Cricetulus griseus: one gene and its partners. The protein of the gene in region 3 binds, or shares a complex with, the protein of the main gene of each other region. Links are inferred from orthologs where the notes say so. Each region holds a gene or a part of one and is shown on either strand. Other genes may lie near its edges. The genes, in order: Tmem231, Tmem17, Tmem237, Tmem67, Tmem216, Cc2d2a and Ahi1.

Region 1 (4,492 bases), on a different chromosome or scaffold from region 3:
CCTAGCAGTAGAAGAAGCCAAATAAAGAAAAGGCTCCAGTTTTGCAGCATGGAACTGAGAACTCTCTAAAGATGAAAAAACAAAAACAAAAAACCAAAAAACTAGCAGTAGATAGGGAACTTCGCTTCCTCTTGAGGCTGTTGCATCAGCTAGTCAGACAGGGTCCTTTTCATGGTTGGATAAATAATAAAACCTTGCTTTTACAGTTCAGTGGGTCTGTCTCCCTGGTGGTCTTTGGGGATCTTTGAGACTTGGGCACAACACTTGTTTTAGTGCAGTATTTATTTATCTATTTATTTATTTATTTATTATTGGTTTTTCAAGACAGGGTTTCTCTGTAGCTTTGGAGGCTGTCCTGGAACTCACTCAGTAGACCAGGCTGACCTTGAACTCACAGAGCTCTGCCTGCTTCTGCCTCCCGAGTGCTGGGATTAAAAGCATGAGCCACCAGCACTTGGTCCCTTTATTTTCATCTTATGCATATGGGTGTTTTGACTGTATGCATGTGTATGTATCATGTGTATACAGTGCCCAGAGAGGTTGTTGGGTCCCCTGTGACTGGACTTAAGGATCCTGTGAAAGAGCAGCCATTCTCTCCAGCTCCTTATTACATGTTTTACTATATTTATTTACTTATTTACATATGCAGATAAGCACCATGACATGCATGTGAAGGTCAGAGGACAGCCTTTCCAGAATTAAGATGTATGTTTGGAGCCGGGGGATGGGGGCTGGAGAGATGACCCAATGGTTAAGAGCCCTGATTGCTCCTGCATCAGACCTGGAGGAAGGAGAAGTGAAGGCCAGCCCAAGCTACATAGTAAAACCCTATTTCAAAATGGATAAACAAGGGGCTAGAGAGATGGCTCAGAGGTTAAGAGCACTGACTGCTCTTCCAGAGGTCATGAGTTCAATTCCCAGCAACCACATGGTGGCTCACAACCATCCATTATGAGATCTGGTGCCCTCTTCTGGTGTGCAGATATACATGGAAGCAAAATGTTGTATACATAATAAATAAATAAAATCTTAAAAAGATTTTAAGATCTTTTTAAGGGGTTGGGGGATGGGGGTTAGGGTGGCATACACCCTTAATCCTAGCACTTGGGAGGCAGAGGCAGGTGGATCTCTGCAAATTTGAAGCCAGCCTGCTCTACAGAGAGGGTTCCAGGAGAGCCAGGGTTACACAGAGAAATCCTGTCTCAAAAAAAACAAACAAACAAACTGAAAACAACAACAAAAGACCAACTTTCTCCCATGTTGAAATAATAGTAGTAGTAAGTACTCACATAATAGATCAGCAAATGCTAACGTTGGAGAATACAGCCAGGCAGTCGTGTCCCAGGCCTTTAATCCCAGCACTCGGGAGCAAGAGGCAGGCAGAGCTTTGTGAGTTCGAGGCCAGCCTGGTCTCCAGAGCGAGTGCCAGGATAGGCTCCAAAGCTACACAGAGAAACCCTGTCTCGAAAAACAAAAACAAACTAAGTACTGGGCTCTTTCTTGTTGTTTTCTTGAAGGGACCTCAGGCACCGCATAAAATGCATCTACTATCTAATCCTGCACAGCCTTCCGCTAGCCCCACCCCTCCTAAAGGACTGCTTACTTGTTATTGGTTCCTCTGGCCGCTGTGGGTTGCCGTGGAGACTCGGCGCTGCGGCCTGCGCTCATGGCGTTGTACCAGCTCTTCTCCCATCCGGCCGAGCGCGGCTACCGCGCGGGGCTCTGCTCCAAGGCCGCGCTCTTCCTGCTGCTGGCCACCGTGCTCACCTACATCCCCCCTCTGCTAGTGGCCTTCAGAAGCCACGGTGAGCCTGCCCGGGCTTGAAGAGCCACATGGCTCGGTGCGGCCCGCTGGCCCAGGCCGGCTTTCCTGACCTGGCTCCCCAACCCGCCTTGTCTCCCGCAGGGTTTTGGCTGAAGCGGAGCAGCTACGAGGAGCAGCCTAGCGTGCGCTTCCAGCACCAGGTGCTACTCGTGGCCCTACTGGGGCCCGAGCCCGGAGCCTTCCTCGCCTGGAGCACGTTCCCCACCTTCAACCGGCTGCAGGGGGTTCACCTGCGAGTCCCGCTCGTGTCGGTGCGTGGTTCCCGCCGGGGTTCTGGGGAACAAGATGGGGGCGAGTTCCAGGGATCCCAGGTTGGATTGGGGCGGGGGGGGGGGAGTAAGGGGGAGGTCTCAAGTCTCGCAAGCTGATCTTAAACTATATAGTCAAAGACCGCCTTCAACATCTGGTTTTCCGGCCTCCACCTTCCCAGTGTTGGGATTTCAGGGCTGTGCGCTTCGCTGCGAGCACTTTATCATTGAGCCACACTCCCAGCCTCACTGCTTGGATCTCAAGGAGCTACAGGGGTTGGAAACACAGTCTTTGGCCTGCGCATGTTTAACTTTCTAGATATCTCCAGAAAGTCAGCCATGTAGTTGGTGTTTGTCTAACAAGAGTCCAGATGCCAGAGCACAGCCTGTTTCTGGTGGTGGTCACTTCTGAATGGAAAGGAGGCAGTGAAAGCCCCTTTAGGGAATTGAAAGCCGAGTTTGAGCATCACCACTTCTGTAAGGGCAGAAAGTGCCAGCGGATTTATGCAGACTGGACGCGGGGATAGGGGCGGGGACAAGCGCTGATTGGTTGCGTTTTCGGCTCCTGCTTTGGCCAAGCCATGCCTGTCAGGGTTAGGCTCACCGCACTCTGCTCCACTTTGCAGCTGTCCTCCATGAAGCTGAAGCATTTTACTGCCTGCAGTTTAGTGTTTACTTTCACGTAAATCAAATGCTCCCTTACAGGCATCCCTTTCCGTTCGTATTCTGAAAATAGTTTCCTTTCAAACGTGAATCCTTTCAGATATGGCTGGTTATTAGCCTTATAAGGAAACTTGTGTAGCTGATGGGGGAAAAAAATCGGACTTTTCCACCAACAGCTAAATAAGAGCTTTAAAATATTAAAGTCTTGTTGGTCATGTGAATAGCAATACACAAAATATAACCAGATTACTTTGCTCTTTAATGTGTGTGTGTGTGTGTGTGTGTGTGTGTGTGTGTGTGTGTGTGTGTTCCCTCTGATCACTAACCTGTAGACTCATTGTGAGATTAAAAAGGTACAGGTTTATACATGATGACAGAAAAGTAAAGGTATCAGTACTTGTTAACCAACCTTATTATTTTTAAAGTCTTTAGATTATTTAATGACATGGGCAGAATGATAAGTTTAACCAGTTATTTGTTGGTAAGTATTTTGTCACAGCAAGCACAAGCTCATTCTGTCTCACAAAACCATGGCCCTGGCAGGTGAAGTCAGAGTACAACTCGGAGGAGTCAGTTTTCTCCTTCCACCATCTCAGGAATCCAGCTCAGATTTTCAGGGTTGGCTGCAAGGGTCTTTACCTGCTGAGCTATTTCACTGTCCACCCTTTTTTTTTTTTTAAATAATTTGCCTCAATTTAATTTTTTTCACTATTAGACTTTTTTTATTTTTTTATTTTTTGAGACAGTGTTTCTCTGGAGCTTTGGAGGCTGTCCTGGAACTCACTTAGACTAGGCTGGCCTCGAATTCACAGAGATCTGCCTGTCTCTGCCTTCTGAGTGCTGGGATTAAAGAACTTAGAATTAATATCTAAATAACAAATTTTTGACTAAGCCTTATGCCTTTTTCATTCTTTTCAAGATGGATTATTGTTATCTTGCCTGCCCAAGCTGGCTGAAGCAATAAGCCCCCTTCAGTCTTCTAAGAAGCGGGCTATAGGCATGACCGCTTGTCCAGACTTAAACCATACACCTTTAAATGTCAATGGAAGATGTCGTTGAAATTTTATGCACACAAAGAAAACGAAGCAAGCAAATAAAATAATTGTTAACTTCAGGGAAATAAAACACAAGAAAATGCAAAGCAGGAAATTCGGTCGGCATTGTGAACAGGACTGGCGAAGTCCTGATTACAACAATGAATACTGACTGACCGAAATATGAATCTAGCTCAATTGAAGGGTTGAGAGAGGGATGTATGTGATGAGGGTTGGTAGGAAGAGGGGAACTCAGGCTCCAGCTTTGTTCATGGAGTGTCAGTAGAGAATACTCCAGACAGAAATGGAGATACACCCAAACAAATGTTATCAAACACCTAGGAAAGCATTTCTACACACACTCATCAAGTAACAGGTAAAAGGTTTTGCTGTGGAAATCATGTGGTTTTTATAACACCACTGATCTCTTTTATTCTTTAAATGACCAGTTCTCTTCCCCCACAACACAAACACATACCCCCTTTGTTATTTTGAGATTGTGTGGCATGTAGCCCAGGGTAGCTTGGAGCTGAGGATGACCCTAAAGACTTTGAGCTCCTGTGCCTGCCCCCAGCTGAGATTGCAGTCATGGGCCCACCATGCCTGTTTTTATTACTTACTTACTGTGGTTCTGGTGAGCCAACCCAGGATCTCAAAATGGCTATGCAAGTGTTCTGCCCACGAAGCAACACTCCCAGGGCTTTGTGGTTGGCCATGAACTG
Region 2 (4,681 bases), on a different chromosome or scaffold from region 3:
GATTTATTCATTTTCTGTGTATTTAGCCTACATTTTTGTTTGTAGACTACATGTGTGCTTGGTGCCCATGGAGGTCAGCTACTGCTAATCCCACTGATCGAGAAGACCACTACTACAGTTTAAAACCAAATTTAAAGCAAGCTTTAATTACATACTGGCCAGGTCCATCTCTGGGTTTCCAGAAAATGGCCCTGAGTCACAGTTAGCAGTGGCCTAAATATTTCCCATCAGGTCCAATCAGGAGCAAGCATACATCATCTAGACGTATTTCCTGCCTGTGAACCTCCCACCAACATGTGATCAAGCACATCTGGTGTAGATGGGTCAAACAAATTTGTTTGGGGGAGTGAAAAACTTGTGGCTTGTTGTCTCCCATAAACAGTGGCCTCTAGCATTTCAGGAACTATTTGTCCTTGGGCAAGGGGATTGCTGATCAATGGCATTTTGTTTCATGGATCTCTACGGCATAATAATTAAAACTTAAAATGTAACTTTGGCTCTCACAGTATCTGATAGAGTCACAGGTGGTTGTGAAACACCATGCAGGTAATGGGAATCAAACCTGGGTCCTCTGCAAGAACTACAAGTGCTGGTAACAGCTTCAACAACTCCAGTTCCACCACACTTTACCAGAAAGATTAAAGGATGGAATATAAGTGTTGGTAAAACACACAGAGTGGCAGGGATGTTCATATGTAGCTGGAGGTTAGACAATTTGGAAAGGTGATGGCAGAACCTAACAAAACTGGTTTTACATACTGTTTGACTCAGCCTCTCCACTCCTGGGTACACATTCAGCATATACCTGTGGGTATGTTTACCCGCTGGCACTTTCACCAAGAGTGGTGCCAGCCATACCTGCTCCCAACTACAAAATACACAGGTTCATATCCACAGCTTGTTGATAAGCTTGTTGGTATGATCATAAATAGGAAGAAAACCAATAAAAATGTTGATGGCAGAGTCAGGTTTTTTCTTAAACTTTTTCTATGCAATTAGTCTACTATAAAGTATTAAGTAGGCCAGCTGTTCCATCAGCCACTGAAAGAGGTAGCTATAAGGCTGACTGACTCGGGTCCTAATGCAACTGGATTGTGCTTTTCTGTAATGTCTATTACACTTAAGGGTTTGTTTTGGTTTGGTTTTTGAGGTTTTACAATGTAGCCCAGGCTGAGATCAAAATGGGGATCCTCCTTAGAGCTAAAAATGATACATTGTAAGTGAAAGCAAGAAAAGGCTGATTTTTTTTTTTTGAAAGTTTTAAAATAACCCATGATCCAGAAACAACTGTTCTGTACTTTGAGTTACTTCCTTCCCTTCTGAAGCAGGTGCACTTGGTCTAACCTAGTCTTACCCCAGATTGTATATACCCTTAGAAAAGAATCTCTGGGAGGGGCATTCTTTAAGATCTGTGCTCGTTCTTCATTTCCCTCTAGAGAAGAAGCACCAATTTTGCAAACAAAGTGGCATGGTGTGAGGACTCCTTGTGGCTCAGCCCAGGCTGGAATGGCTTGTTACATGTGAACATTTTAAGACCCGCGGCTTAAAAGGCAGGACTAAGGAACCCGCCATTTGCATTACCACGAGGCTACGTTCAGCTGCAGGCCCAGCTGCCTCTGCTCGCCCCTCCAAAGGGAAGCCTCCGGAAGATTCTGGACCGTGCAGGGCAACCCGGGCACCCACTCCCTAGCGGCTGGCACAGCCCCGTTGCCCGGGGAACTGCAGCACGCCGCTGCGCTGGCTGATTAGCGGGTGTGTGCGGGGCGAGGCCGGGCAGGCCAGGCATGGAGCTGCCGGACCCTGTTCGTCAGCGCCTGGGCAACTTCAGCCTCACGGTGTTCGGCGACTCCAGCCGCACCGGGCCGGAGTCCAGCGAGGCGGCGGGTGAGTGGCGAGGGCGCAGGCCCGCGCGGGGGTGTGGCTCGCGGGCGGACGCACGGGCCGTGCCCGGGTGAAAAATGGCGGCCTCGGCTTCCGCCATGGCGCATCCCCCGTGCGGGAGGCTGCCTGCGGGCCTGCGACCCACCCGGGCGCTCGCGAGCCTCAACCGCGGGGGCGCTGTCGCCGAGAGAATTGGAATACAGAGCAGGAACGCCTGCTTCCCGACACGGGCCCCCGCTGCGTTCCTCCGTGACGCCCGCCGGGCCTTCCAGGCCAGGCTGAGGGGAGAGCGTCCGCTCCCACCCCGACAATAGCTTTGTTGTGTCAAACCCCTCCTGGCAGGATAGGCTCGTTCCTCCCAGCCAGCCTCCCAGCCGGGTACAGGGAAGAAAAGGGGGTTGCTTTTTCATTGAATGAGCCTTTTAAACCACTGTCCACACGACTGGCGGCTGCCAAACTAACGTGGCCTTCCTCGGCCTGCGCCTTCTTCCCGGCTCCATCCAACACTGGGGTCAACACCGTCGAGTTGACCACAGTGTCAGCCTCCTCGATCTTGACTACAGCATACGTTTTCACCAATGAACTCAAGGAAGGAGAAATCCTTTCTCCAGATTGGTTTTGGCTACTGTTTAAAAGGGAAAATTGAAAAGCAAAGCCACTTCCCATCGACCTGAAAAATTAGATTTCCATGCTTCTAAGAGCCTTAACTTGCACTGAGGTCTCTGGGGTCAGAGTGCAGTTACTGGAGAAATTATTTGTTCTGCAGCTCTGTAGGCTGCAGAGCCTCAGCCTTAGGTAGTGTTAATTGTTTGGATGCCAACATCGCTAAAGACCAGAAACTGGAAATTCATATGGTTTTCATATATCATATAGTATTTTTCCCAACCATTCAAATTCGAGAAAAGCTGTTTAATTCACTGTCTCTGCCAAGACAGGTAATTAATTGGTTAGTGAAATTTGCCTGTCCAATATATAATGCTTTAATTTTATCTCATTACAGAATTCAACTTGAACTTTTGTAAAATTTAATGAATTTGCATCTTGTGCCTCATTTATATTTTGGCCTGATTTTTTCAATTGCCTAAGTTTGATGTGTTGAAGTATGGATGTGACACTACAGAAAATAAAATAAAAGCCCTGGCATGCTAAGCAGTCACTCTACCAAACTATATCCCCATAGGTTTTTAAACAACAACGACGAAATTGTTGTTGTTGTTGTTGTTGTTGTTGTTGTTACAGTGCAATCAAGAAGTGCCTGAGCTGTCCTGAAACTAACTTGCTGTGTAGCCCAGACTGGCTTTGAATGTGAAATACTCCCTGCCTCAGTTTCTTTGCAAACATTTAGCTAGTTTCTGCTCTAAAGGCTCTGAAAGTGTCAGCTTAACCAATATATAATTATTTTCCTGTCTTTTTAGTGAGTTTAATATTAGGCTGTAAAAATTTTTATCACCTCACCTCACATCCACCTCACCTCACATCCACCTCACCTCACATCTACAATCATCTCACTTCCACAACACCTCAGCTCCACAACACCTCTCCTCCACAATCTTCAGAATTAAAAGATTTTAAAATTTTATTCCTATATTAGGGATAATTTAAGAAATTAAGGCAAGTAAAAGCAGACCACAATAGTCAGGCATTCCCTTAAAACTTAAAGGAAACTTGTGGAATAGAATATTTGTTTAACTCTGTGAAGATGTGTTGCATTTGTTTTACCTTGCCTGCCTAACACACCTGATTGAGCTAATAAAAAGCTGAATGGCCAATAGCTAGGCATTAAAGGGATATGTGGGGCTGGAGAGCAGAAAGAATACTTAGGAGGAGGGATCTAGGCTCAAGAGAGAAGAAAAAGAAAACGAGGGAGAAACAAAAGGAGACACTAGGGGCCAACCAGTCAGGCAGACAGGGAGGAAGCAGGAAAGTAGGACATATAGAAAGAAAGGTAAAAATCACTGAGACAAAACATAGATGAAGAGAAACAGGTTAAAATAAGTTACAGGCTCTAGTGGGACAAGCCTAAAGTAAGGCCAAGCATTCATAACTAATAACAAATCTCTGTGTCATGATTTGGGGGCTGGTGGTTCAAGAAAGCCTGCTACAGAAACTTTTGCTTCTAGAGGCCATGCTTGTCTCAAAAAGCATTAGATGTCAATTAAAAAAAAAAAAAAAAACTATGCAGATAAAAAGGAAAAAAGTTACAAAGTAATTTATGTTAGTATCTTTCTAAATTATTACATTTAGAGAAACCGATTTAAAATAAGAATGTAGTTAAGTTTATAATGTGTTTTCTAGGGCTCAATTTTAAAATCAAATTCTTGTTGTGGGACCTTTTCCCTTATACAAAAGCAAAGATATTGGGTAATCAATCTGATAAATGGAATTTGTGTGTCACAAATGGCTATATGTATGTCATTATGCGTTTGAAATTTGTTCTTTCTGCTTATGCATGCATAGTATTCACAGTGTGTAAAGCAAAATTCCGAATAGGAAATGTAAGTGTAAATCTGTGCTTACACTGAGACTGTGTGTATACAAATAAGAAAATGAAAGGCTCTGTTTGTTGAGTATGCCTTAAGTATGATGGGCACACTGGTAAGAGTGAAATAACCTTACAGGCAGGCAGCCTTTGAGTGGTGTTATCATTCCAGAGACGATTAAATGAATGCTCAGAAAGATGTAATATTATATCCCAACTCTGGCACCTGATTCTCTTGGCTTCTGTCTTAGAGTTTCTACTGCTGTGAAGAGACACCATGACCATAACAACTTTTATTTTTTTTATGTTTTTTTTTTTATT
Region 3 (4,019 bases):
GGCACTGTGACTGGAGTGTGACTCCACTGACGGAGGACTGTTGGGCACTGTGACTGGAGTGTGACTCACTGATGGAGGACTGTTGGGCACTGTGACTGGAGTATGACTCCACTGACGGAGGACTGTTGGGCACTGTGACTGGAGTATGACTCCACTGATGGAGGACTGTGGGGCACTGAGGCTGGAGTGTGACTCCACAGATGGAGGACTGTTGGGCACTGTGACTGGAGTGTGACTCACTGATGGAGGACTGTTAGGCACTGAGGCTGGAGTGTGACTCCACTGATGGAGGACTTCGGAGCACTGAGCCTGGAGTGTGACTCCACTGACTCAGGGCTGTGGGGTACTGTGCGTGTGTCACCTGAATCTGGTCTGTTTGCTTTTTCCTTTTGCTGATTTTGCTTTTCTTCTTTGCTGTAATTACACTTTGTGAGTGTAATAACTTCTGAGTCCCTTGAGTCCTGACAGCAAGTTGCCAAATCTGGGGATACTCCAAATGTGGGAATTAGTGTTTTGTTTCAGACAGGGTCTCACTGTCTAAACCTGGGCAGCCTGCAGTTTCCTATGTAGTCCAGGCTGGTCTCAAATTCACAGAGATTGGCCTGTCTCTGCTTTCTGAGTGCTAGGATTAAAAGCATGCACCACTACACCCGCCCAATTTTTTTATTTAGAAAATTTTATACTTCTACACTGTAATTCCAAGTTTTAATGTCAACCAATATGGAAAAAATTTAAGAAATCTAATCCTAGCTGAGTGTTGAGACATGCCTTTAACAGCAGCTCTCTGAGTTTACGATTAACCTGGTCTGCACAGCAAGTTCCAGGGCAGCTGGGGCTACACAGTGAGACCCCATTTCCAACACCAGCTCTGCCTGTAGCAGAAAAGAATTGGTCCAACTGAAAGTCTTAAAGTTCTCCAGTCTCACAAAAGTCAGGAGACTGACTGCGTGTTGTTTTATTTTCACCTTGTAATCATGTGACGCATCTCATTTTCAGAGTTGGAGACTTCCTTCGCTGAAAAGCCATCATCTAGTCCATCTTTCCTACGCAATGAAAATGGTGTCAATGTGGAGCCACCGGCAGAGGCAGTCATTCCAAAACCACGAAGGAAGGCCAAGTAATAGTTTACTCACCCTTCTAGCTGTCCCTAGGAGCCAGTGCTGCTGTTTTAGATCCTAAAGAGTAGCTCCTCACTGGGTCTTGGAAAACACCGTATTTGTATGTGTTGAAATAAGTGATACTATAGAATTATAAGTTAAACCAATATATGAGAGATTTGAAAAGAATAGAACATTAAAAAAAGAAAAGAATAGTGTATGGAAATAGCTAAAGAGTCATCTCTAAAAAAAATATTTTCAAATAAGTTCAAAAGATGAGATAAGGGTTAACCATTAAAGATAAGCTACTGTGATTTGTTTTTCATGTTAATGGAATTTGAACTATTTTGTGATAAGCATAACTATTGTGCTCTAATATAGGAAGTTAAGTCTTATATAAAAATACAAGAGCATACTTTTAAAAATACCCTGGAAGTTATATAACATTGATGTTTGTACTTAAAAATTACTCTACAAACAGCAATCAGTTACATTTAGAGTTTAATGATATTAAGTCAGGAGCAATCTAGCCCAGTCCTTGACCATTTTGAGAAAACTGGGGTACACAGAAATGTGGGCACTTTGAGGAATGTACTAGTCCATAACAAATCTGAATAAACAGCATATTTTTATACTTCAAGTTCAGGAAGGACTCTTTCCATTATGTCCATGGGTAACTTCTTATGTGGGTCTTTAAAAATTCAGGAATGACCTATTTTTCTCAAAGACTTTTCCCAATTTCAGGAAAACGCAGCCAGCAGAGCTACAGTATGCTGATGAGTTAGGGGTAGAAGATGAAGACATAATTACAGATGAGCAGCGTACCCTAGAGCAGCACTCCAGGTTCACAGCACCCACGGGAATTAGCCAGCCTGTCAGCAAAGTATTTGTGGAAAAAAGCCGTAAGTAATTCTTTTTTTGGAATACAATTGCTCTAAATATTGTAGAAGGATATCTTTTACCTGGTAGTTGTAGTTCCAATGACCCAGGGCTGGAAAGAAGGCTCAGCCTAGGTTGTCAGCTAGGCTCACAACCAAAAATATTGTTCTGATGACCTGAATGAAGGAAATAATAAAAATATGAGCAAAAATTGACACACAAAACTGTTATTACACTATTTTTTCCAGCTGGATTTTATTTTTTACTGAAAATAGTTTTTCCCCCTATACAATATATTACAATTTCAGCTTCCGCTCACCCAAGTCAGGTGTTATCCATAGTAGCACCCTCTAGCTCCTGTGAGACCGGAGCTCTAATTGGGCTAGTGTCCACCAGACTAGCCCAGCTGGCCAGCAAGCCCTAGCAATTGTCTTGTCTCTGCTTCTGAATGCTGGGACTCCAAGTATGGCCACCATGCCTAACAGTTCAGGTAGGATCTCGGGATCAAAGGCAGATCTTTGTGTTTGGAAGGCAAGCATTTTACCAACTGGGCCATCCCCTCATCCCCTCTTTTTTCTAGCAGTGTTACCCAGAATTTTTATTCTGGTTTCCTTTAGTGTAAAACTTCCTTATTTGAGAAACTGATCATAAAAGGCACAAGTAGTTCTGTTGGCTATCTATCCAGTAATTTTTTTTTTTTTTTGAGAAAATGAGTTATTCTTGCATTCCTTCAAGATACCTGAGCAACGGCTTTTGTGAGGGTTCCTGAGATGGAATCCTGCCTGCTGAGATCTGGATTGTTGCATCTAAAGAACTGTCCTAAGCAGTGCAAGTGTGAAGTCCCACTCAGAATCTCAGGAGAACTTTATGAAATATCCCACAATATCCCACATCTTTCCTGCTCCTACAGAAGGCTGCGTGCACACTCCAACATCTTTTCCCAAGAATTAAAGTTTTCAAATAATAGCTTGCCTTGATAGTGTATAAACATTTTAATTTTTAAAAATTATTTATTGTTAGAAACCTATTGTTTTTTTATTTATGTGTATAAGTGTTTTGCCTATGTGTACCACATGTGTGTCTTGTGTCTACAAAGGTCAGAAGAGGGTATCTCATCCTTAGAACTGGAGCTATAGGTGGTTGTGAGCCACCACATGAGCCCTGGGAACTGAACCCAGGCCCTCTGTAAGAGCAGTAAGAGCTCTTAACCACTGAGCCATCTCTCTAGTTCCCAACATTTTAATTTTAATATTCTTAAAGTCACTAAATTACTTCTATAGACCGTCATGCCAAGGCTTTTAAATTTAATTCTGAGTTGAAAGTTGTATTTCACTAAATACCATTGACACCTAAAATTATTTATTTTAACATCAGCTTTGGGTTGTGAAGAAAGCTTATTGGCACTGCATTTTTTTTAAAGATGAAAAAATTGTATGTCTAAGCAGCCAGAAATGAAAGAAAAGAAAAGAAAAAAACTTATAATCAAGGAGAAACTTTAGATTAAAAAAGACAACAGCAGAAATTCAATGTTAGTTTCACCGCTTTTAATTTTTTAAGCATGTGTGCTTGTGTGGTGTATATGAATGACATGTGTGTGAGGTCAGAGGACACCTTTGTGGAATCAGGTCTGTCCTACCTTTATGTGCATCAGGGGACCAAGCTTAGGACATCAGGCTTGATTCGAGGCAGCATCTTTACCTCTGTAGCCATCTTGCAGGTTCCTTTTTTTTGTTCTTTGCTTTTAAGATTTTATTTATTTTTCTTTTTTTTATTAAATTATTAATATTTTCACATGTACTTTCCCTCTCCCTCTCCTTCCCCCCACCCCCATTCCTTCTCCCCCACCTCCAACCTACCCCCCACCCCATCCACCCACCACTCCCCAGGCAGGGTAGGGCCCCCAACCAGGGCTCCACCAAGTCCACCAAATCTTCCTGTGCTGGGCCTAGGCCCCTCCCCATGTGTTCAGAGACAGAGCGAATCCCTTCAAGTGGGATGGGCTCTCGAAGTCCCTCCCACCCACCAGGGCAAAACGCCAGTCCA
Region 4 (4,019 bases), about 290 Mb from region 3:
AGCTACAGGGATCCTTAGCCTCTACCTCTGTGTCACTGGGATCGCAGGCACATGCCCCATGCTTTTTATGTGGCTGTTACATGGGTTCTGGGGACCCAAATCAATGTCCTTGTGATTGTGCAGCAAGCACTTGCTGACAGAGCCATCTCCAGCGCTGCTGCCCTCTAATACTGGTGCCCACTGGTGATGCTCGCCTGTAGGATAATATCACTGTGGTATTTGCCAGATGTTTTTTTATTTCCTTCATTTCTTTAGAATTGAAGGATTGGAACTTTATTATAAGCCAGAACTTTCCTTTTACCCTCATTAATATTTATTCAGTTATTTACTTAAGTCAATATAATCTCATTGATTTTAAGTGATTTTTTATAATCCATTACTATTCATTTTCTTGTACAATTTTCCAAAGTTAGTCACTGGAATTTCTTACAGCTTGTCTCCCATGTCTTTTCAACCACTTGCCATCAATTTTTGAGTAACTTCACATTCTATTTACCATGGGTTTTAGGAGCAATGAGAGGAATTATGCAAGTTCTAAAATGTTTGTTTTCTTTTCTAGATTGCATTGGGCGTGTTGGGTGGGCTGGCTGTGTTGTCATCTCTTTTGAAGACGGCAGGGTGGAAGAGGCGCATTGGGAGCCCCATGATTGATTTACAGGTACAGTCGGTTTTGAAATGAATGTTTTTATGTTTTAACTATTCTAGATCTTTTCCAGAAGATACAGGTAGAAGATGAGTAAGCGAGCTGCCTTTGATTTTTCTGGAGTATAAGTTAGGAAAGGTATTTTGAGGTCATAGAACATATGCAACTTCACTTTCTTTCCAGGATCCCAAGGTCTCTACATTCCCACCTCCATTTTTATTTTTGTCTTTGCTAATGCTTGATATTTTTCAACATTAACATATTTGTACATAAATAAAGTGGCATGTGTTAAGATGTCATTGTTGATTTTATTTTCTTTATTTTGTTTTATTATTCATACATTTATGTATATAGTGTTTTTGCTTGCATGTATGCCTGTGCATTACATACTTGCCTGTGCCCACAGAGGCCAGAAGAGGCACCAGATCTCCTGGAAGTGGAGTCAGAGATGGTTGTGAGATGCCATTGGATGCTGGGAATCGAACATCTGGAAGAACAGAAAGTGTTCTTAACCGCTAAGCCATTTCTCTGACCTTTTATATACTTTGTAAATGTTTAGGCTCCTTTTTTGTGAACTATTTAGATCTCTTGGTCATTTTTCTACTAGGTTCCTTCTTTTTCTTATTTATATGAAGGAGCTGTCTTTTCAAAATATTAATTTCCTTCTGGTTGTTTATGTTGAAATCTTTTGTGCAAGTTTATGAGCTACCTAATATCCATGCCTTTAACATTCAATATATAATTAGTACTTAACATCTAGTTCATGTCTACACTGTCACATGAATTTTGTATGTGTTATATATATTATGTTCTTTTTGTTCAGGAAAACTTGCCCACTCAATACCAAAAAAAGATTTTACTCCATTAACTTTATAGTTTACTTCTCATTTATTTTGAAATTAATAAAAACTTTTGCCTAACATTTATTGAATATTTACTATGCACAGGCACATTCTTAAGCATTATATGTATGGTTTACTTAATCTTCACATAGCCTTATGTAGTTGGGCATTATTATTATTCCCATTTTATATATAATAAAAATGAAACAGAGCTTAGATTTTCTGCTTAATTTTTGCAATAATTCAGCAACAGTGTTATTTCTGTTTTGCAAATCAAGCACATGAGAATGGTTCTGTAGTAATTTGTTTAGCCAGTGTGATAAGGAGTGAGAGCAAAGGGCTTCTGCTCCTCTTTGGGACAGCCAAAGAAGGACTTTCATGGAAGTAAACTTTAAACTGTTTATTCCACAGTGGTCACCCAGGGTCTGTTGTAGACTGCCAGGTACTGGGGAACATGACAGAAACAGCTACAACAGATCCTGCCCTCAGAGCTCATGATAGAGAAAGGGAAGGACATTTGACAAAAGGATGACAGTTGCTTTCCATGAAGTATTCAAGATGGAACTGTGAGTGGAAACTAGCATGTGAGCAAAGGAGAAAGTTGACTCTGGTTGATACTGTGAAGGATCTTGTTGGTAAAGAATTTAGTGAGTAGTCATTGTATATTTTTAAGAAAAAAGTGACTTAATCTAATTTACATCTAAGAAAGCTAACTCTAGGGTCCAGCATGAGCAAGCTTCAATCCTTTTGTATAATACATAATAATATAATAATAACTATGAAAATATATAAGATAGATTTGGGTAGTGATTCCCAACTAAGGAAATTTGCAAGTAGTTTCCACTTTCTCTTAAAGTGAAAGAGAAATACAACAGTCAAACTCAGTGGGTCTTTGTAACTGTTAGTGTATGGATGTAAATGGCCAATATATTAATAATATTAGAGAGGCCCGGTGATTAAGTGTGTACTGCTCCTGCAGAGGACCCAGACTCAATTCCCAGCATCCACCTTGGGCAGCTCACAACCACCAGCAACTCCACTTGCTGGGAATCTGACACCCTCTTCTGACATCAGGCACCTGCACTCAGATGGGCACAATTCTACAATAATAAAAATAAATAAGTAAGAAGTAGTAGTACTCATGGGCCAATAAGACAGCTCAGTGAAGTAAGGGCACTTGCCACAAAAGCTGTCAGATATGGGTTCTATTTCTGGAACCCACATAAAGGTAGAAGGAGAGAACCAATTCCAGAAAATTGTCCTCTGACTTCTAATGCATTCCATGATAGTTAACACTCATGCATACAGATCATGCTCACACCCAGTAAGAAGAAAGTATTTTATACTTTAAGTTCTTAAATAAAATAGTACTTTTATTATTCCCATTTTATATATGATGAAAGTGAAGTAGAACATATTTTCTGCTCAATTTTTCAGCAGAAATAAATGTAATAGGCAGGTAATAAATGGAATCTTTAACAATTGTAATTCTTTTTAAATTGTAGACAGTTATGAAATTCTTGGTGTACTATGCTGGCGACCTGGCCAATGTGTTTTTTATCATCACAGTGGGAACCGGTCTCTATTGGCTTATTTTCTTCAAAGTGAGTAAGTTTCTGAATTTAAACTAAATGCATATATCTGAATAACTGGCAAGCTACTTTAATAACAGAACACTTTTAGGGACATTTCTGTTCAAGTTCTGGGCAGCTGCTGAGCTCCCCACCCTTTGGTGTGTCATTTACTGAGGTTGTCAATATTTGCCACACTTCTGCTTCCTTTATACACCATGTCTTTTAGGCACAGAAATCTGTCTCTGTTTTGCTGCCAATGCCAGTTCAAGAAGAACGTTTCGTTACTTACGTGGGGTGTGCATTTGCTATGAAGGTACGTTTCAAAAGACAGCTTACTCAATTTCAAAGGCCTGCTAAAAAGCTTGTGAGTCTTTCAAATTCCAGATGCATTCATGACTTTTAGTGAAAATTTTACTTGGGAAATGTGCCTTCATTTATAATATTCCATTTAAACTTATACCTTAAGTTGTTTTTTTTTTCAAAGAAGTTGCAAATATGCCTGAGCAATCACAAATTGCAACTAATTTGATAAAATGATATTCAATGTTTAACTTTTCCTTTAAAATCTGGCAATGTGTTCACAATGGGACAAAATACCTTCCATTGTGGATTTTGTTTCTTTGTTAATGAAGAGTAAAATCCAACTCTGATGAAGTGCTGGAATTGTAGAAGCTATTATTACTCTTTCCTCCTCATCTTTCTGTGGTGTCCACCCCTCAACATGTCCTCATCCACACAGCTGCCAGCTGTTCACATCCCTCACCACACTTGCTGTTGGAAGTGCAGTATCTGCTTCACCCACCGAGAAAATAATTCTTGAGGACAGTTACCATCCTGTACTTGGATTTTATCATTTGATCAGTAATGCCCCAGGGATGAGAACTAGGTTTAAACCGACTGCTTCTGTAAAGGAGAGAGATGTGTTTCAACAGCACTCTGCTTCTCTCTCAGTCTGAGGGA
Region 5 (3,287 bases), on a different chromosome or scaffold from region 3:
ACAATTGCCTGTAACTCCAACTCAAGGGGATCCAATGTTGTCTTCTGGCCTTTGTGAACACGTATAAATATACAAGTAAGAATTAAATGGAAAAATAGAAGAGGGCATCAGATCCTCTGGAACTGGAGTTACAGACTATTGAGCTGCCATGTGAGTGCTGGGAATTGAACCTAGGTCCTCAGGAAGATTAGCAATGGCTTTTAACCACTGAGCCATCTCTCTCTCCAGTCCCAAGTAGCAGATTATTAATGCATTTTCTTTTTTCTTTTCTTTTTTTTTTTTTTTTTGGTTTTTCGAGACAGGGTTTCTCTGTGGCTTTGGGGGTTGTCCTGGAACTAGCTCTTGTAGACCAGGCTGGTCTCGAACTCACAGAGATCCACCTGCCTCTGCCTCCCGAGTGCTGGGATTAAAGGCATGTGCCACCACTGCCCGGCTTAATGCATTTTCTATATTTTATTTTTCATTAGTTGAAAAGTATATATATATATGAGATATATACATCATAGATTTTATATATACAATTTTATAAGTTGTTGTTGGATACAAATGCATACATGTTATACACACACACACTTTGGTTTTGATATTTTGAAGCAAAGAGACCAGGATAATCTTGAACTTTCAATTCTGACACCTTAGCCTGGCTGCCCTAGATTCTCAATGTAGACCAGGCTGGCCTCAAAGTCAAGAGACCCACCTGTCTTTGCCTCCCATTTTTTTTTTTTTTTCCTTGATGCAGAATCCCATTGCTCCCTGAGTAGAGTCAGAATGGAAGCAGAGCCTCTGGAGTAAATGACATCAATTATGTAACACCCTGAAGCTTCAAATTTTTAGTTCAGTTGGACTTCACTTTTAAGTATGACATTCCCACTAAGGGTAGTTTTTCTCTGCTCTGCCCATCTGTCACATCCAGATACTTTCTGTGGTGAGTAAAAACAGGCTGATGCCAGAAAAAGCAATCACCATTTGGAGGTGACTCTGGGGGTTGTGTTTTTTAGGTACAAAGGGAAACCTCTGCCAGCGAAAGATGCCTCTTAGCATTAGTGTGGCCTTGACCTTCCCATCTGCCATGATGGCTTCCTATTACCTCCTGCTGCAGACCTATGTACTCCGTCTAGAAGCTATCATGAACAGCATTTTGCTCTTCTTTTGTGGTTCAGAGCTGCTGCTTGAGATGCTCACGTTGGCGACCTTCTCCAGGTATTACTGCTGAAGGCTGGGTCCCCCACCCAGGGATGGATGCATTGGTATTTGAAGGCCTGAAAGGTGTAGAAAACTGGATTTGAGGGGGTGTCTATGGAGATGCTTTTCTTTCAGTAGGTAGGAAGGTTGAGTGTGTGTGGTCTACATATATATGTTCACTTGTGTGCGTGTATACACAAATATTCGGGTAGATGGTTGTGTGTATGGGTGCATACGCATGTGTGCCATGCAGACCAGGGGTTGATATCAGGTATCTTCATCAATCACTTTCCACCTTATATATTGGAGAGTCTTCCACTTGAACCCAAAGCTCTCCAAATTGGCTAGTCCAGCTACCCAACATACCCCAGGAATCCCATCTCTCCTTTCATGGGTGATGGTCTTCATGCTTGGGTGGCAAGTACTTTTACCCACTGAACCATCTCCTCAGTCCCAAAAGTTTCTTTTTTAAGGAAGATAGTCTTCTGGTTCTTTTAGAGTTAAGAGCTTCAAATATGCAGAGTTAAAGCTAACAGCTGTTACTTAATGGTCTTTTTTAAAAAGTAATTTAAAATTTTTTATGTACATTCATGTTTTCCTGCATGTATGTCTGCATGAGGAATTCAGATCCACTACAACTTGAGTTACAATTTTGAGCTGCCATGTGGGTGCTTGGAGTTGAACCTGGGTCTTCTGGAAGAGCAGCCAATGCTCTTTTTTTTTTTTAAAACATTTATTTATTTATTATGTACAGTGTTCTGCCTGCATGTATGTCTGCAGGCCAGAAGAGGGCACCAGATTTCACTGGTGGTTGTGAGCCACCATGTGGGTTGCTGGGAATTGAACTCAGGACCTTTGGAAGAACAGGCAGTGCTCTTAACCATTGAGCTATTTCTCCAGCCCCACAGCCAATGCTCTTAATTGCTGAGCCATCTCTCCAGCCCCACTCACTGGTCTTTTAACAGTTTCTTTTTTTCTGCCTTTAGTATGGACAGGATCTGAAGTATAAGAATTCCAGCTGGTATAGCCCATCAGGATGACAGCCCACATCCTCTGGTACGTCAGCCACACTTGTGAAAAGTGGTAGGTCAAGTTGGCCTGGGAAAGGTTGTGTGGTTTTTCCTTAGCACAGACATCTGGGCATTGAGCACCTACCTGAGGTCAGTGGCGTCATCTTAAACCAGGATCATCAGCAGGAGACACGGACATTTTATGGTAGGGAGAGGCAAAGCTGTTGACATCTTGGGCTTCCTAACAGCTTCCTACTGACCTCAAGTTCTCTTCCTTGGTCATCATGGCCAGAGCTCCTTGTGTGGATTATATGGCTTGTTGGGCTTCCAGTAGGACGGAAGCCACAGCACTCTGTACATGTACCACATCTGTCCTGCATGAGCATGAAGAGCCTCATGATGGTGGCCTCCTAGGCTGATTCAAATACCCCCACCCCCCATGCTCAGAGATGGAGATCCAGAACCCTTTTAGTAGTTCATAGTATTTTTCTATTCTGATCATGAAGCAAACAGTTTTATAATAAACATTATTTTCTGATGTGGGGCTGGTTATGTTTTGTGTCTGGCACCTGTCTTTAAGTTTCATCTCTTCTAAGTGAGGGCATAGACTATCCCAACAGTGTGTTCTAAGGCTGTGTTTAGTGGTAAACTGTGACATAAAGATAGTGATAGAAGTCTCTCTCTGATCCTTACTCCTCATGCCCAAGTTGCAGCCTGAATGCCAAAAGGCACTGCCATCTTGTCTGTCTGCTTCAGGTCTGTCATTGGCAAAAGACTTTGTATATGTTCATCTCTGCCCCAAGTCTGCTTGTCTCAGTTCTTTCCAGCATAGGCCATGTGTAATAAGAAACTGAGAGAAGTATATTCTAAAACTGACCAAAATCTTTTTCCTTGAGTTAGCTTAAAAGGAACATGTATTTCTCTGAGTATTGCCATGTTATTTTATTCCAAGAAGCTACGAGGAGTTGTGAAAGTCCATTTTAGGACTCTTTATGTGCATCAGTGTGAAGGTATCAGATCCCCTGGAAATGGAGTTACAGACAGCTGAGTTGTAAGTTGCCATGCGGGTGCTGGGAATTGAACCCCGGTCTTCTG
Region 6 (4,804 bases), on a different chromosome or scaffold from region 3:
CACTGCAGCTCAGAAAAGATGAATAAACACGACTCAGCTTTAATAAGCCCCTGTCATCAGCATTTGCCTTGGCCACTTGTTAATACATGCTATGGCAATATCAAAATAAGAGCCCTGGTTTGTGGACCTAGAGCTTTGGAGTCTCTACACATACTCTCTGCTCATTCCCACACAACAGCTCTCAGTAGTACACATGCCAACTAGACTCAAGGAAACTAGTGTTTGAAAATTATGTGATGTGATCAAAGTCACAGTTTTCAAATCTCACATTCAGTGTCTGACCTTAGCACTTGGCAGTTCCAAGGTGTCTCCGGTCCCCAGGCACCAACCACACTCTTTGCTAAACAACGTAACCATCACTATTTGTATATTAGTTCGTTATTGTGAAAATACTTACAGTGCAAAGCCACAAATACTATAGCAGTAAGGAAGGGCATAGGCATCACTAGTAATCTATTTTACACAGTACAGAAAACCAACACATTTTAAAAGGGCAGTTCCCACACTGTATCTGACCATGGGACTCTCTAAACTCAGCTCATCAGAGTCATCTCAAGGATCCCCATGATGACCTTACAGGATGCAGAGAAGAACTGAGAGAAAGAGGCACTTCTCAATCATAACTGCTCCAAAAGGATGGTGTATTATACAGAGAAATTACAGTTTTTCAAATGTGAGGGCTTTATGGAAAAAAAAAGTATAGTCAAGGGTTCAAATTTTCCTCCTTTCAGCAGCTGTGTGATCTTGGAGCAACTCTGCTGATTTTGTAAAGGCACAATCATACTTCCTGTCTCAAGGGGAGAAGGTTTATTATGGGCTCCATACTACAAAGATTGTAATAAAATGTCACCTGGTAGGCTTTAGGGTTTTATTATTAAGAATGTTGCCAGAGTTAGGGTCTGAACCTGAGCCTTGGCAACCCTAATAACATAGGCTTGGCCACCAGTCCCCCAGTAGGCCAGCTAAAGAGACAAATAATGAAAAAATCAGAGAAAGGGGACTTATTCAATATAGTGACATTAGGAAGTAGAACAAAGGAGTTCATTGACCCCCAAAGTCTAGGGTCCTAACATGAAATTAGGTTGGACTAGAAGGTACCAGGAAATATACATAACTAAGCAGTCTTAGTCAAGGTGTGGTCCTGTCCATCACTTCCAGTATCTTCTTTCTGCAAGGTGACTGACAAGCTGTCAGACTGTCTTTCTTGGAGGTAAGTTCTCCCTCCAGCTGGTACCAAAACCCAGACCTTTTCCTTCTCCCAGCATGAGACACTGCGGCAATCCAATTCTTAGAGTCTATAGTTTTAATAGTCTGATAGCTGAAGGGAGAGACACAAGTGTCTCTTTCAATCAGTGGTTCTTAACCTTTCTATTGCTGCAACCCTTTAATACAGTTCCTCATGTTGTGGTGACTCCCAACCATGAAATTATTTTCATTGCTACTTCATAACTGTAATTTAGTTAGTAATCAATCATGATGTAAATATTTGTGTTTTTCAGTGGTTTTCGGTGACCCATTTGACCCTCAAAGAGGGTTGTGACTTACTGGTTGAGAATCGATACTTTTGAGTGTCTTGTTTAACCAGGATGGTCACAAGCAGAGGTCTTGGTTGGTAGGGAAAGAGAGAAAGGGATAGAGAGGGAGGAAAGACCTTGGGGACACAGGAGAATCGTAAGAAAAGCCTTAGGGTGTTTAAGCCCCATTACTCTTATTCTCTTTCATTTTTATCTTCAAACAGTGGCAGTAGCCATAATCAAGTCTGCTTGCTCCTTCCTGCAGCCAGGCCCAGGCCACCTGCTTTTTTTTGTCTATTTTAAGTGTTTCTGGAAGCGCCGGTCTTCCTACCCATGCTCATTTTCTCTCTTCAGAAACAAGAGGCTTTTCCCACCCCTCCCTTTCAAGCTGGGGAATCTCAGGAACTGTCATATGCCTTCTTTTATGATTAATTATGTAACAAATTTTTCTAGCCACAGCTTCTTGAGTACAGGTTAGAGACATAGCTGTGTGTGGTCATTCGATCAGATGGTTATGACACTATTTGCTGCAGCGTGCAGTTCAGTATACAGGGTGTGCTCTGCAGGATTGGCCTAAGCCGTGGAATGGGAGTGCTGGAAGTTCCTCCCTGGACTCAGTCCTCCTGTTCATCAGGCTCTAGACCTTTTTACAAATCTCTTTTGGCATTAGCTCATGGGTGTTTTCATTATCTGTTCATGCATCTGCTTCCCCAGCAAACTCCCAGCATTGACCTGATCTAAGTTATTTTTGTACAATGTAAAGTTGAATTCATCATCTGCTGCATTATTGATGCTCAATAAAAACTCAAATGAATGACTCTGTAAATGAACTCTAGGGCTGTAAATGAACTCTAGGCCAAATATCTATATCTAGATCGATTTACGTATATCTATCTATATGAATATATACATCACACACACATTTCCTCTATCCATATACAGTCCTCCCTTCTCTCTATATATCATACTGGCATTACACTTATTTGCAGAAACATTTGTAGAAAATGCAATTGTAGACACGTATTTCCCATTAGACTTTATTAGATTTTCATAGCACATCTTTGCAAAGAAGAAAGCAGTCAGTTTAACTGACAGCCTGTAGATTTTTCTTAGAGTATGGCAGATTCAGAGCTCTTTGTCCAATACCAAGAAAAGTGAAGTTTGCAGCACTGACTCCACCCACGCCCTTGGAACATTCTAAACCAAGGCCTGAAAGCAACATGCAATGCCAGTGGTTAGCAGCACACTGGCCAGAGGACGGCGCTAGGGGTTCTCGGTTAACTGGCTGGCGTTTCCCCTGCAAACCAGACACACCAGACAGCAGCTGAAATAAAAGCTGTTCCTGCAGCACCCCTACTTTCCGTTCAGAGAGCAAAACTGCAAGCGAAACAAAAGGAGGAATCCCTAAAATTATAATGCATTTAGTCCACTCTCATGGCTCCCAGGGAGGGGCTGACCTCCAAGACTTCCGGAACTGAAAGGAGATGAAAGCAGGACACTGACGTTGCAGCCCCGGTTCCAGTAAAAACTAATTTACCTTAATCCACTCTGCAAAACTCAGCTTGCAGATTCCACTTTCTGGAATTGGACGCATGTGATGAGAGACCAGTTGGGTCAAGCCAGGCAATCTTTTAGAAATGAGTGAAGGAGTGTGCTGGGGGGTAAGGGAGGCTGCTCCCTGTGAAGCTGCAGCCACATCTCAGGACAAAAACACCAGCTTAGCAACCGGTTCCCAAGGAGGGTCACTAGGCAGCTTTTTTTTCTTTTAAAGTGACAGTTTACTTTTAAGTCTTGGAATATGCACTTGTTGGGTGAGCAGAGGAAAAATAACCTGCTGAAGAGAGACAAAGGAAAAACCACTGAGAAGCTGGCCAGTGAGGATGCAGGCTGTCAGGGGGGTGCTCTGTATCATGCCACCGGGTTGCATGGCACTCAGGTAAAGGACAGAGGGTGTTCGAAAGCAGAGTGATTTAGAATCATGGTGGTCCATGCTGCATGGAACAGCAGTGATGCCTCTATGGAGGGGTGCCAGGGCTCCAGGATGTTTGCAGGCTGTGTATGGAAGCCTGAATGTAGGACAGCCTAACCTCTGCTGGTTCTCACTACACATGGCCCATTAGGGATACAAATGTAATGGCAAAAAAAAAAAAAAAAAAAAAAAAAAAGCAAAGGATGTGGGAGAAAAGGCAAAAGTAGGCAGAAGAGTAATGAGCAGACAGAGGGCCTCCACAGAGCAAGGACAGGCAGAGAGCAAAGCCTCTTAACCTCAGGTGTTGTTCCTCAGAAACCTCCCATATTGGCTCTTAAACCAGGTCTCTCATTGGAAGCTGGCATTTGGTGATTAGCCTAGGCTGTCTGGCCAACAAGCTCCAGACATCTACATGTATTAGCTTCCCTGGCACGGACAAAATAAACATGGGCTATCATACAGAACTTCAGTCACCTTCAAAGACGTCCTTTTATCAATGGAACTATCTCTCAGCCCTAGTTTTCTTTGTTCCTGAAGCTCTCCCATTCATCACTTTTGACCTTAGACAGACAGATCTCCGAAGCTAACCAATTCCTAGAGACAGCAAAAGTTTCCTTGGAAATGTATATATTCTCCTTTGATACAAGACAACTGACCCCAAGCTGGCACCTCCTACTACATCTTTATTAAACTCATCCACCAAGCCAAGTCCCCTGCTCTAAGTCATCACTCTGGAGCCATGTGGTTGGGAGCACCTCTACCATCCAGAACACAATGAAGTAATTCCAGTTATCCCATTGTAAACCCACCTGCAAACTCACCCTGCCTCAGTCCTACTTCCAGGGGAAAATCTCAGTAAAGGGGCTCTTCTTGAAACTCGAGCTCATTGATTGGCTAGACTGCTGGCCAACGGGCTTCAGCGATCACCTGTCTTTGCCTCCCCAGTATTGAGATTATAGATGCCTGCAGCCACTTGGCTTTTTATGTGGGTGCTGGGGACCTGAATGAAGGCATTCATCCAGGGCAAGCATTTACCCACCCAAGAAACAAATTTATATCCATTACGATATGCTGCTATAAGATGTTTCTTGCTCTGAGGGGTCTGTGTGACAGCCATGTCTATGTCTGCATGACTCACAGTACCAGTGAATGCAGTGTTCACTTTTAAACACATGTGTTTGCAGTGCACATATGAGTAGGCATGTTTGTGTGGTGTATGTGATGTGGAGCAGGTAGATATGAGACTGAGGAAATGGAATACCCACCCCCAATGTTATATTGATATCTTCACTCCTAATCCCATAGAGTCTGACATTATTTA
Region 7 (4,534 bases), about 140 Mb from region 3:
GCCGGGCGTTGGTGGCGCACGCCTTTAATCCCAGCACTCTGGAGGCAGAGGTAGGCGGATATCTGTGAGTTCGAGGCCAGCCTGGTGTCCAGAGCAAGTGCCAGGATAGGCTCCAAAGCTACACAGAGAAGCACTGTCTCGAAAAACCAAAAATAAATAAAAATAAGTAAATCAACAAACAAAAAAGAAAAAGAGGATGGTAGCATTAGTAGCTTCACATTAGTAAGGTTAGCCTGATAGTGGAGTGAAAGAAAATTAGTCAAAACTGGAGTCAGGACACAGGTAATGAGGCCAGTTCCCCATAAGATATACTGGCAGCTTGCCTTAGGCAATGGTAATGATGGATAAGCTATATACAGTGAGGACACTGAAAATATAGGTTTGGGGGAAAAAAATTAAGAAACCACCTAAGGGTTTCTTGCTAAAACACTGAAGAGATGGTGATAGCTTAAATCAAGATACTCAGAAGGGGAAAATTGAGATTTTTCAGTGGAAAACCCAGCAACTCAACGTTAGGCAGGCTTTAGATTAGTGATTTTTCCCCTGGTCTCCTCATTGCACTTTGAGAACCAAATGAGATGTTTTGTTAGGTATGATAATACCAGTGAGAATGGAAAAGCTGGCCACCAAACAAAAGCACGCACTACTGTCACCACACAAAGGACACAACAGGTTGTGTGGGAGGACAGCTGCAGAAAATGGCCTCTAATTCTAGTGGAGCGAATGCTGCACCTAGTATTTTTCCACTCCTGCTGTGACTCACAGCCAAAGATGGCGCCTCAAGAAGAATCGAGCAAAGGGGGAGGGGGGCGTTGGAAAACGTGACGTTCTTAATTCTTGTTTTCACCACAGTCAACAGCGCCAGCGGGATTGCAATCTCGTGGGGATCCTCATTCACGCTTAAAAGCACGATTCATTTTGTGGGCGCACGATGTAGGGGGTGACAAGTCTTCCTGGACTGCACTGCATTCATTCACCCATTCATTCATTCCTATTCATTCTTGTATGTTTTCTACGCTGGGCGCGGGCCCGTCAGCTTCCACCTCTGCTTCTCCCCACAGCGCTTCCAGTCCTGAGGCATGACGCTTCTCCCGAGGCGATGGCATATTGCCCTCGGAGAGAACGAGCACTCCTGACCCACTTCCGGCTCCACGGGCGGAACCTCGGGCTCCCGCGCGCGCCCGCGTCAGAGCGCGCGCACGCCGGACTCTCAAGAGCCCGCAGGCACGAGCAGCCGACAGCGCTCGGCTGCCGCCGGGGAGGGGGCGGGGCCTAGGTCCAGCCCGGAGCTTGGGCCTCCGGACCCAGTTACCTAGGCAACGGCAGCAGAGGCGAGCCTGACGTCAGCGGGCGGCGCGCAGCCCGCACTGCGGCACCAGGGCCCCTCTTCAAAGCGCGCGTCGCCAGCGGTTGAGGCTGCCGTGCCGGAGTCTCCGTCGGGCCGCCTAGCTGGGCGCGGGGAGCCGCTTCGCACTGCCGGGCTGTCGCTCGGGCGGGACAGGCCGCGCTGCGCGCTCCTCTCTGTGAGTACCCTGCGGGCGCGCTGTGTCGGGAGCCGGGGTGCGGGCGCTCGGCCCTGCCGGCCGGCCTCTCGGGGGCGGCGAGGGGGCTGCTGGAGGCCGGGAGCGCGGGGCAGCACTGCGCCATGCAGGTCGAGCTTGGCCTGCGCCCCGCGCGCGGCCGAGGATGCCGCTGCGAGCTACTTCTGCCTACTCTCCCGCTCTCCTGGTCCAGGCTGCCCAGCATGGTGCTCCGATGGAGGGGATGCAGCCTCTTCCTCTCTGCTCGCAGTGCGGGCTTAATTAAATGCCCCTCAAGTTGATGCGTACCGAGTCTATTTCCTTTTAGATGTCATCCTGGTACTAAAGGACGTGCTGTTCTCTTAATTACTTACATCTATGAAGAGTGATCGATGGGTCCTATATGGAAGAGTCAGGTTATATCGATAGGATCATTTCAGTCTGTGTAAACCTCCCCGGAACGGAGGCTACTTAAAAATCTACCAAATGCTTGCTCTGCCTTTATTGTCACTATAAAAACATCCCCCGAAATGTTCCCTCTCCGTTTTTTAAAGAAAAAGATGCTAACAGGCTTTTCACCTGTTGCATAAATGACTGCATGAGCTTTCAGGAGAAGATGTTTGTTATGAGGTGGATGGGGAATTTTTTTTTAAGGATATTTGAAACAAATTCAAATGCCAATAATTTTAACAGTATTTAGAATATTATTTATTTATGAGGATACCACTGACTTATTGGTTGAATTATGCTGCTTTTTTTCTTTGAAAATTTGTTACAGAGGAGGAAATCATCAAGTGCGTATGCTTTTTTTCTTGCCTTGATGTGTAGGCGTGTACTCCATGTTTTTCCAGAGCAGGGAGGGAATGTAATCCGGTTAATTTTTCTGCGTAGTCTCGCATAGGAGCTTCTGTAAAGCTTCTTCGGATGACGAAATCTTAAAATAATGGTATAATGATATCTAATATCGTGTATAATAATTTTGAAAATCAAAAAATTGTCCTATAAAATCATATATACAAAATTGGAGATGTTTTATTAAACCTAACCTTAAATTTTGGTGATGTTATTAAATATCAGTTATTCTGTTTTTCTGTAGTATACCTTAACATTAAAAGATGATTATTTCTGTACTGTATTTGCTGTGTTATCATTAAATATTAGTGTTTAAAAAAATTAGTGTTTATTCAGTTGTGCCTCAAAATATCAAACAATATTAGATTTATATAAATATATTAAATTAATCGTGTGTTTTCTTTTTTAATTATTTGCTAAATGGGCATAAAGCAAATTTACTGAGTACCTGCAATGTGTGATTTATTTTATTTTTATTTTATTTTGCAATTTTTTTCTCCTTTCAACAAGTAGGTGCCATTTTAAGATCTTAGACATTTTAAAAAAAATTTTTAAAAAAACCAAGGCCTAGTGAAATTAATACCTTATCCAAAGCCATTTATCAGTAAATAACAGGATGGTACTAGAATCATTGTTAATTGCTTCTTTTTCATTTTAAACTGAGGCACAGACCTGGCCCTCCAGAGGCTAGCTCTGTGTGTGTGTGTGTGTGTGTGTGTGTGTGTGTGTGTGTGTGTGTATGTGTGTGTGTGTGTGTGTTGGGGTGATGTCACAGAATATAGCATTTTACAAGGACGAAAGTTGAGGGTTTGAAATCAATGGATTGATGAAGAACAGAGTATCTTGTGGAGCTGGTATCGAATTCAGGATCTTGCAGATGCCTGGCAAGCATTCTACCATTGAGCTACATCCTCAGCTTCCCCTCCCCCACAACAAAGAAAAATTCCTTTCCAGATGTTTTTATCCTTCCAAGGTGTAAGAAAATTCTAGAATGAATTTATCTACATGCCTCTCTCACATATCACATTCTTTAAACCTGTGACTGTCAGCTTTCTGTAAAAAGCTATGGCACATGTGACTTCCTGATTATAAATCTATAGTAGGTAGGCATCCTTCAAAATTTACAGCATCTTTTGACAGCATACAGTATAGATTATTTTCTCTGTGTAACACTCCATTTTCTCATTTTTTGAAACCAGTCTCCTTGAATTGTTTTTATTTTGCAGGGTTCAAAGTTAACCCTTTTGGCATTTTATGTTACCGAAACCATTACATATAGGTGATGCCCAAATCTGCAGCCTCTACCTATTGGTTTAATACATTCTACTGCCTGCTAAACATAGTATTATGCTATTATTTTTATTAAACAATGTTATTACTGCTATATTTGTATATTTGAAAGCTTGCTATGTGACAAATATTGTACCAAGTGTTTTGCTTGTATATTCTTATTTACTGTTTATAAAATCTTACGAGTGATTTACTCTTAGTCCCTTGACAAATTAGGAAATTGAGGTCTACAGATATTAGTCTCTTGGAAGATGAAACTGGAATTTGAACCCAGGAGTCTGTTAACTAATTTGATTCTTGTAGTTGCTTAGTACTCCTTCGATGCCCAGTCAGTATGCCTCACACTAAGCTAAGTGCCCCATGAGAATTACCTATTATAAGTGTACCTATCATTTATTGGTACTTATTTAACTATAGTAAATCATATAATTATTAGAATTACCCATAGAACAATGAGTAAGCACTGTTTACAGGCAAAGTTTACAAATAAACAGATGCATGAATGTCTGATGTCACACAGGTAGCCATGGGAAACTAATTCTAAGAGTTGGGTTTAAAACTATTCTGTTATACTAATTGCATTATATTATAGCTAATACTGTTGTCCCGCTTATTCTAGTTCGAGAGACACAGAAGAAACCATCCTCAATTCTCCTGCTTCTTTACTAGTTATTTAATGTTTTCTAAAATATCAAAAAATTTCCATTGAAGAGCAATGGTATGATCAAAGGTCTGATTACACTGGCCTTTGTAGCCTCTTTCTTACAATTTGGTGTGGATTAGAAAGTAGAGACCAGAAAAATGGTGAGGATAAGTGACTGTTGAGGCTCAACTCTAAGTAGGACATCTGTATCAGCCCCTCCAGGGTCAGG

Evidence for each region.
Region 1: Tmem237 (region 3) and Tmem231 share a complex: the UniProt entries of both Homo sapiens proteins name them as parts of the tectonic-like complex. The link is inferred for Cricetulus griseus from reciprocal best matches to the Homo sapiens genes TMEM237 and TMEM231.
Region 2: Tmem237 (region 3) and Tmem17 share a complex: the UniProt entries of both Homo sapiens proteins name them as parts of the tectonic-like complex. The link is inferred for Cricetulus griseus from reciprocal best matches to the Homo sapiens genes TMEM237 and TMEM17.
Region 4: Tmem237 (region 3) and Tmem67 share a complex: the UniProt entries of both Homo sapiens proteins name them as parts of the tectonic-like complex. The link is inferred for Cricetulus griseus from reciprocal best matches to the Homo sapiens genes TMEM237 and TMEM67.
Region 5: Tmem237 (region 3) and Tmem216 share a complex: the UniProt entries of both Homo sapiens proteins name them as parts of the tectonic-like complex. The link is inferred for Cricetulus griseus from reciprocal best matches to the Homo sapiens genes TMEM237 and TMEM216.
Region 6: Tmem237 (region 3) and Cc2d2a share a complex: the UniProt entries of both Homo sapiens proteins name them as parts of the tectonic-like complex. The link is inferred for Cricetulus griseus from reciprocal best matches to the Homo sapiens genes TMEM237 and CC2D2A.
Region 7: Tmem237 (region 3) and Ahi1 share a complex: the UniProt entries of both Homo sapiens proteins name them as parts of the tectonic-like complex. The link is inferred for Cricetulus griseus from reciprocal best matches to the Homo sapiens genes TMEM237 and AHI1.

What each region holds. Positions count from the first base shown.
Region 1 is NC_048596.1:188,336,525-188,341,016, reverse strand, and holds the start of Tmem231 (transmembrane protein 231), read left to right. Parts: upstream 1-1,622; 5' UTR 1,623-1,666; coding exon 1,667-1,805; intron 1,806-1,906; coding exon 1,907-2,076; intron 2,077-4,492. UniProt on the Homo sapiens protein: Transmembrane component of the tectonic-like complex, a complex localized at the transition zone of primary cilia and acting as a barrier that prevents diffusion of transmembrane proteins between the cilia and plasma membranes.
Region 2 is NW_023276807.1:84,237,579-84,242,259, reverse strand, and holds the start of Tmem17 (transmembrane protein 17), read left to right. Parts: upstream 1-1,537; 5' UTR 1,538-1,784; coding exon 1,785-1,884; intron 1,885-4,681. UniProt on the Homo sapiens protein: Transmembrane component of the tectonic-like complex, a complex localized at the transition zone of primary cilia and acting as a barrier that prevents diffusion of transmembrane proteins between the cilia and plasma membranes.
Region 3 is NC_048595.1:413,374,945-413,378,963, reverse strand, and holds part of Tmem237 (transmembrane protein 237), read left to right. Parts: intron 1-996; coding exon 997-1,117; intron 1,118-1,841; coding exon 1,842-1,999; intron 2,000-4,019. UniProt on the Homo sapiens protein: Component of the transition zone in primary cilia. Required for ciliogenesis.
Region 4 is NC_048595.1:126,316,195-126,320,213, reverse strand, and holds part of Tmem67 (meckelin), read left to right. Parts: intron 1-559; coding exon 560-658; intron 659-2,990; coding exon 2,991-3,089; intron 3,090-3,285; coding exon 3,286-3,372; intron 3,373-4,019. UniProt on the Homo sapiens protein: Required for ciliary structure and function. Part of the tectonic-like complex which is required for tissue-specific ciliogenesis and may regulate ciliary membrane composition.
Region 5 is NC_048596.1:49,912,724-49,916,010, forward strand, and holds the end of Tmem216 (transmembrane protein 216), read left to right. Parts: intron 1-998; coding exon 999-1,200; intron 1,201-2,168; coding exon 2,169-2,184; 3' UTR 2,185-2,731; downstream 2,732-3,287. UniProt on the Homo sapiens protein: Part of the tectonic-like complex which is required for tissue-specific ciliogenesis and may regulate ciliary membrane composition.
Region 6 is NW_023276807.1:112,268,179-112,272,982, reverse strand, and holds the start of Cc2d2a (coiled-coil and C2 domain-containing protein 2A), read right to left. Parts: upstream 3,190-4,804; 5' UTR 3,052-3,189; intron 1-3,051. UniProt on the Homo sapiens protein: Component of the tectonic-like complex, a complex localized at the transition zone of primary cilia and acting as a barrier that prevents diffusion of transmembrane proteins between the cilia and plasma membranes.
Region 7 is NC_048595.1:268,869,001-268,873,534, reverse strand, and holds the start of Ahi1 (jouberin), read left to right. Parts: upstream 1-1,348; 5' UTR 1,349-1,523; intron 1,524-4,534. UniProt on the Homo sapiens protein: Involved in vesicle trafficking and required for ciliogenesis, formation of primary non-motile cilium, and recruitment of RAB8A to the basal body of primary cilium.